2 linked regions of the Nothobranchius furzeri genome follow. The protein of the gene in region 2 purifies or fractionates together with the protein of the main gene of each other region. This does not show direct contact. Links are inferred from orthologs where the notes say so. Each region holds a gene or a part of one and is shown on either strand. Other genes may lie near its edges.

Evidence for each region.
Region 1: the proteins of gng8 (region 2) and gnb5a purify together in Homo sapiens (co-immunoprecipitation; 3 studies listed by BioGRID and IntAct, with this or other methods). This does not show direct contact. The link is inferred for Nothobranchius furzeri from reciprocal best matches to the Homo sapiens genes GNG8 and GNB5.

The regions. Positions count from the first base shown.
Region 1 is NC_091744.1:64,508,535-64,511,777, forward strand, and holds the end of gnb5a (guanine nucleotide-binding protein subunit beta-5a), read left to right. Parts: intron 1-130; coding exon 131-274; intron 275-357; coding exon 358-449; intron 450-534; coding exon 535-583; intron 584-653; coding exon 654-750; intron 751-1,430; coding exon 1,431-1,597; intron 1,598-1,680; coding exon 1,681-1,692; 3' UTR 1,693-2,688; downstream 2,689-3,243. UniProt on the Homo sapiens protein: Enhances GTPase-activating protein (GAP) activity of regulator of G protein signaling (RGS) proteins, such as RGS7 and RGS9, hence involved in the termination of the signaling initiated by the G protein coupled receptors (GPCRs) by accelerating the GTP hydrolysis on the G-alpha subunits, thereby promoting their inactivation.
Region 2 is NC_091750.1:45,718,334-45,722,585, reverse strand, and holds gng8 (guanine nucleotide-binding protein G(I)/G(S)/G(O) subunit gamma-8), read right to left. Parts: upstream 2,825-4,252; 5' UTR 2,695-2,824; intron 1,227-2,694; 5' UTR 1,173-1,226; intron 686-1,172; 5' UTR 647-685; coding exon 563-646; intron 346-562; coding exon 217-345; 3' UTR 105-216; downstream 1-104. UniProt on the Homo sapiens protein: Guanine nucleotide-binding proteins (G proteins) are involved as a modulator or transducer in various transmembrane signaling systems.

The DNA.
Region 1 (3,243 bases), on a different chromosome or scaffold from region 2:
CCCGACTCCGGATAAGCGGATGAAAATGGATGGATGGATGGACTTTGACAATCAGCACCCCATTACTCTCGTAGCACCATCATCTTAAGTAAGCATATACCTTTCCTCTCTTTGTCTGATTGTATTAAAGATCCTGACATCCAGTGGTGATGGAACATGTGCATTATGGGATGTTGAGAGTGGGCAGCTGCTGCAGAGTTTCCATGGACATGCAGCAGACGTACTGTGTCTGGACCTGGCTCCGTCTGAGACAGGAAACACTTTTGTTTCAGGGGTGAGCATGCTCTCTGTGCTGCTTATTTAAATGTTGGACGATTTTCATTGCCGGAGTCGCATTAATCTTTCCTGTTTCTGCAGGGCTGCGATAAGAAGGCTAACGTGTGGGACATGCGTTCAGGACAATGCATTCAGTCCTTTGAAACTCATGAATCAGACATAAACAGCGTGCGGTGAGTCACGGTCCTGATCAGAAAAAACGTGATTGCTATTCTGACTGACTTTGTTTTATAATGTAGCCCAATTTTTTTCTAATAGATACTACCCAAGTGGAGATGCTTTTGCATCTGGATCAGATGATGCCACAGTAAGTTAAACTGTTAAACACCTCAAAGGGACATTTTCAAGTAAACTGAAATCGGTTGTTTTTGTTTCAGTGTCGGCTTTATGACTTGAGGGCAGATAGAGAAGTGGCTATTTATTCCAAAGATAGCATCATATTTGGGGTCTCCAGTGTTGATTTCTCACTCAGTGGTATGATATTATTTCCCTTCAATACTACTTTTGAATATATGATCCTCAATATTATTTAAAGGTGTGGTGTACTTGTTTATTCAATACATTTGCAGTGTTCTCTATTATAAATCAATGCCTTATGAGTCATTTAAATTTAAAAAAAGCTATGCTGCTTCTGTTCTGAGATGCAGAAGTTTACTGGTGCAGAGGTGGGCTGAAAACAGCTGGATTGCTCATTATTATTAATGATATGCCCACACCTCAGTTCTGACTGGCTCACAGAACGTGTTCAGCCGTGTTGAAAAGTCACCATCACCAGGACACTCTCCGCTCTCTCTCCTTGTTGGAAAAAAACAACAACAAAACAAACGAAAGCCCTCCTGTGAGTGGGCGCGAGCCAAGATGGGCGAGGCCATGAGTACAAATCCAGTGTGACATAGATATGTGAGGATTTTCAGATCCTAGCATTTCGCTGTATTTTCTATCAGAAGCTGATGCAGGAGGTAGGTGTGAAGACAGTTTTCATGTTCAGCCTGCATGAAAACTCGGAGTGACCGATTTTATAATCAGAAATAATAAAAAAAAAATTTTCAGGGAACCACACGTTTAAATATTGAGGATCTTGGCTCTTTCTTTGCTTACAATTATTACTTTTTAAAGATCGCTGAAAAGATTTGTGTGTATTTTCATTTTAACAGGACGGCTACTGTTTGGTGGGTACAACGACTACACTATAAACGTCTGGGATGTTCTCAAAGGAACACGGGTCTCTATTCTGTTTGGACATGAGAACCGTGTCAGCACGCTGCGTGTCTCTCCCGATGGTACGGCCTTCTGCACAGGATCCTGGGATCACACTCTTCGGGTATGAGACTTTTTTGTAACCTCTGAGATAACTTTTCAAGTTTCAGTGACTTCTGCAGTGATTGCTGCTTTTTCCTTTTTCAGATCTGGGCTTGAGCGTCGAGCCACAGTGACCTAGATGCTGAAGACACACTGATGTTTCTGTTTGCTAGAAAACAATCACAGAGATGGAAACACTTCTTGGATGTAGATAGAGCATTTCAATAGCTTTGTACATACTCCAGTCTCCTGGACAAGGATAGATTTACATGTCAAAGAGTAATTAAACCAAATGGCACGCTTACATTTCATTAAAACTGAAAGAAAATAGCACAGAAATATAGGTGCAACTTTTATTTTAAAAAAATGAAGAAAATATAAATAGTAGTAACTTGCATTGGTCTAGGCTAGAAGTGATTCAGTAAAGTTATTATTACATTTGTCCACTTGAAAGGAAATTAGCTATTTATTTAATTTACACAAGGTAATAAAAAGAGCAAAAGCATTTAGAGAAGGAAGACTAAATAAGTCTGATTATATCACTGATTGGACCTAGAGGGAGGATAGGATAGCCCCTTCTGTGTGAAGTCAACACCATGAAGTTTTAAAAAAGGCACAGAAAATTATATATTTCAGTTTTAAACCAGTTGAGCTGTGGACTAGAGAAATCTCTGGCCTTAAATACAAAAAAAAATCTGCTAATTTGAACTATTATTCAAAGAAACAGACAAAAATGTCACTATTATCAATGATGGTTCACCTGTCATACTTATACTAAGAAGGTAGATAAAAAGTTTTACATTCATGTTGATTTCTATCTTTAGTTATACAAATTGTTCACTTCCTGTTTACTTTTCTGCTGTATAAGAAACCAAAAAGTCTACGAATTCAGTAACAACTGACCACATTATTTATGCATTTATTTATTTTTGTGGTTCCCCTCTTGTGGTTTTACATTTAGGGAGATTAGGAAAATGTAGTCCCTCCTGTGCAGCTTTGATGGCTGTAAAGTTCACATTCACTGTAATTATTTTACTGTAGTTTAGTGTACAGATATCCAAGGGACTGTTATTCAGAATATTACAAACATAATAAACAGAATTTTGAATATTGCTCTTGTGTCTGTCATTCTTTATCTTTATATTACAGAGATTTTTTTATTATCAGGGAAAAAGTCTTGGAGTGAGATTTTATTTATTTAAATTTTGTGTGTGTAGGTGGGGTGGGGGGCGCTTTAGTTGCGGCAGTCTTTTAAAAATGAAATCACAGATCAACAATCCACAAATATGTAATTTTCAATAAAAGCAAATGATACATTAGTCTGTAGCTAGCTGCTAATTGCTCCTGCTTTAGCTCAGTAATTTGATTATGTTGAACGCAGGTAATTAAAATAGATTGATTGAGTTTTAGTGCTGCTAACACTAATTTGAACTCTGTTTTAGTTTTAAGAAGTATGTTTTCTTTTGAAGGAATCTCCAGGAAGTGCTAATGACTAATGCACTGGGTTATAGTTATGAACTTCTTGTAGAAACAAAGTTCGTCCAGCAGAGAGCAGTAAAATTCTCAATCTCGAAAATCAGGTTGAATTATCGTATTCGCATCTAGTTGACCTAATACGGGAAACATTCGTGTCCCGGTGACCCTGATGGCCGTTTCGTCACTGCACAA
Region 2 (4,252 bases):
AGATTTCTGTGATTTTCTTGAAACTTTGGAGGGAAAAATGGAGTTCGCTGAGATTGTGGTTAATGTGTAAATCGTGTTGGTGCTGGAACGAACTTTGACCCATCTCTTATTAAAACTTTATTGCCATCATTAGCATGGTTTAAAGCTGATCATTTCACACCAACATCTACATTCATTTTAACATTAACAACATTTGAGCTGGAATGGGTGCAGCAGTCACAGAATCTCACAGAAAAGCTTCTTCTCTCGAAAGGGGTTCTCTGATGAAGGCACGGGTGTCACCAGAGGGTCCTCTTTGGCGTGAGACTCGCAGTAGGACATCAGCTCAGCCGCAGCTTTGGACACCTGCACAAAAACAGCTGTGTTACCATCGGAGCTTCAAAAGGGACGAGATAAGGCGTTGGGTTATTTCAAATCAAAGCAGACACTCTTCGTTAAATCCATTTTATTTCACTTGTTCTAAACTGTGATAACATAAATGCACATTTTGTGCAAATTTGGAACAGAAACTGTAGTAAAAGACAAATTTAACTCGTTTTGAATTTGAGTTTCATCAACTCACCATCATCCTCTCTATGTTGACCTCCAGCTTCAGCTGCTCCACCGTCTTCCTTGCATCAGCGATCTTGGCCATGTTGTTAGACATCCTCCGCCGTCCCACTAGAGTCAGCCAGCCTGCAGCAAACTGTACAGGAGCAATTATGTTTGCAGGAATAAAATAAAAACGTTGCATGCATTAAAAGCACATGAGGGACAAGTTAGAGTGTGTTTCAATTTGCTTGTTAATTGTGCTCCCTGGGTCTCAGCTGCAAGAGGTGCAGGAAGGGTCTCAGCGGAGGGCAGGGGAGCGGAGGCAGAGCAGCCCTCCCCAGAGAAAGGAGAGCAAAGCAGGTGAGGACCTGCTGATGGTGTAAATGCACTTAATATTAACATGTTACACATAGAAAATGATACTTTACTAACTTAATCCTGTGCCTCCATTTTTTCATTTGAATTATCTGCTGTTGTTTTTGCAAGGATTTCTGCAGAATCAGACTTATTAACAAGAGAAATGACCTAAAACAACAATTATTTAGCATTTTAGTGGCCGAGTGACTCGTTTACAATGTAAGACTAATAATATACATAATAAAATCATAAAGCAGCAGTTGTTCTGGATAGTTTCTACTCACCAGACTGAGGAAAGACAGCTACAGTGAGATCCCTCTGATCTTCAACAGGGTCTGCTACAGAGAAACAGCAACAAACGAAGCGAGGTTAGCAGCAAAGATGAGGAGGAAGGCTTCAATTGGTTCCCTCCTTCCTTCAAATAATTAACGATGGCTCTGCCTCCAGGATGGGCTCAGAGCCGCCGTTAAAGGCGACATGTGGCGTGACCTTCATCTCCCTCTCTCACCTGAGACAAAAGAGAAGCTCTGAGATGGAACATTTAGATGAATCTGCACACATTTATGTGGTTTTATTGTGATAAGTGGCACATATTGAAGCTGTGTTTTATTTTGTAACACTTAAATGCAACATTAGAAGCTTCAAGAACATTCTGAGGAAATCAGGGATCAGCTTTGAGTGGCTTTATTGTTCTTTTTCCTATTTTACAGTCAAAATAAATGCATTTCTTATCATGTATGATTTTCATTAAGCAGACAGGTTTAAACTGCTGATGCAGGCCGGTGTTTAAGCTGTACAGACAGCATGTTTAATATAGATCAGTGAGTGAGGCGTCTGTGTTTTAGGCCAGCAGAAGTCTTGCTGTAATGGTATCCTGCCAGTCTTCCCTGTGAAGCTGACTGTTATTTCACACAGCAGCAGGGGGCAAAGTGGGAGTATTATGGGTAAATGTCAAGAGCCCCATTAACATTTGTTTCCTGTGGTAATTGGTTCCTCTGTACTGGGGATATGGAACCATATGAGGAGAAAATGGCAGCTGCTTGCTTTCGAACTCAACCAACTGGTGATACACACACACACACACACACACACACACACACACACACACACACACACACACACACACACACACACACACACACACACACCTGGTTTTGGATGATTTTTTTTCAGGTGTCGAGTAAAACACAAACCAGTTTTTCTGGACTGAGGTCCGCTGCTTTGTGGATGACACACTTCCTGCCTGAAACACCACTTACCATTCAATGTGTGTTACTTACAGGCTCTGCAAACATTCTCAGTTTATTGGTTTAGTTTCAGCGAGTGAGTGAAACATACAGATGTGGTGAAAAGTTTACATAACTCCAGTTTAATTTAGACTTTTATATATTAATCTAAACTTGTTTTAGCAGAAGCCAATCATTATTCAAGATAAGACTTATATGAGTTCCCATGGTCAAAATGCTGCATACACCTCATTGTTAGCTTTATTGCCCCTTATAGCTGGTTGAACCATGACCATGTGTTTTATTATAAATATTAATAAATTATTGTTAATAATTGTTAATAATAATAATAATAATAATAATAATAATTATTATTATTATTATTATTAATAAAAACAACAATAAGAATAACAATAACACTAATAATAAGAATAATAATTAGTATTAATAATAAAAACAACAACATTAATATAATAATAACACTATTAATAATAATGATAATAATAACAACAACAACAACAACAACAATAATAATAATAACAATGGGGATGCACAGCGGCACAGTGACTAGTTCTGTTACCTTGCAGCAAGAAGGTCTTGGGTTCAAATCCCAACCTGGGGTCTCTGTATGGAGTTTGCATGTTCTCCCTGTGCATGCTTGGGTTCTCTCTGGATACTCCGACTTCTTCCCACAGTCCAAAAACATGACTGCCAGGTTGATTAATTTCTCTAAATTGTCTTTAAAGGAACAGAGTGTAGTTTGTATCGTTAATCTCTGGAAACATCCATCAAAATGTTGTTGAAAAAATATTGGTGACTTCTTACCATAAAACCATAAAAATCAGGTCTAAAATACATGGGAGTGGGTCGTGTCTCTGGGTGATGCCATATTAGATGCCATGTTTCCTTCTATGGGAGCCCTTGAGGACAAAATGCATTTACTGATTTGTAGCAAATGATTATAAAACTTTCACCATTCATAAACATTGTTTTACACATTTACCTCTTTGCTAGTTGCCAGTGATGAAAGGAAGTTTGATGTGTTTGTTATTTTGCTGAAGTTTGCACTCCCCAGGGCTTTTTGACCCTAATGGGCATCTGTTGCAAAGTCTTACTCCAACACAAAAATACAGGATGTTTCTCAAGGAACCTCGCCTTGATGTCTTGGCCCCATCCTGGTTGCCTAGGAGATACATCATCAGGAGCCACCAAGACATTTTCCAGTGTTCATGTTCTACCGAGGCGTTTGTTCTCCATGTGTTAGCCGTTTAGCTAGCTGAGCAAGGATACACGGGAGGTGTCTTGTAGCCTAGCCGTGGTCAAAAATTGCCCAGAATACACCCCAGTATTTTCAAAAGGACGGTGGATCAGAAGCTGGCAGCTACTTCGGAAGCAAATTTCATGTTTAAAAGTAAGACAACTAATTTAAAATGCTTTTTTAGATCCAAAGAAGTTATCTATGGTTGGTTAGTTGCTTAGTAGTTGCAGCTTCGGTGGCTAGCGGGTAGTAACTCACTTATATTTTTAATTTAACAAATATATACACAATTTAAAAAGTAAAAGTCTCGTTATATATTTATATTGTAACTTATACATGTAAAATATAACGTTGTCTCCTGTGTCACGTGACGTTATGGTTCTGCCGTGGAAGCCGCGGTCACGTGATGCAAGTCTGTTCCATTTAACCCTTTTCTTTGACCAATGAAGGACAGTGTCCTCGTAAGCAAGGCACCTGGCCTCGCAAGATATTGCCTCGCAAGGCCAGGCGCCTTGACATTGAGAAACGTCTACAGCTTGCTTGCAACAATTTAGTTATCTAGTGCCCCCTATCGCCAGGAAAAATACACACTGTCACTTTAGTGTGTGTGCTTTGTTGTTTGTTCTGTGTGTCTCTGTGTTGCCCTGCAATGGACTGGCAACTTTTCCAGGGTGTAAGCTGCCTGTTTGCCAAGAGATTGCTAGAGATAGGCACCAGCCTCCTGAAACCCTGCATGGACAAGTGGATATAGGCAATGGATGAATGGATAATAATAATGAATTATAGAGATTTTCTAGACACGCAAGGCACTTTACAGAAAATCCATCATTCATTCACATTATGTGGGTGATGGTACATCACAGCCACAGCTGCCCTGGAG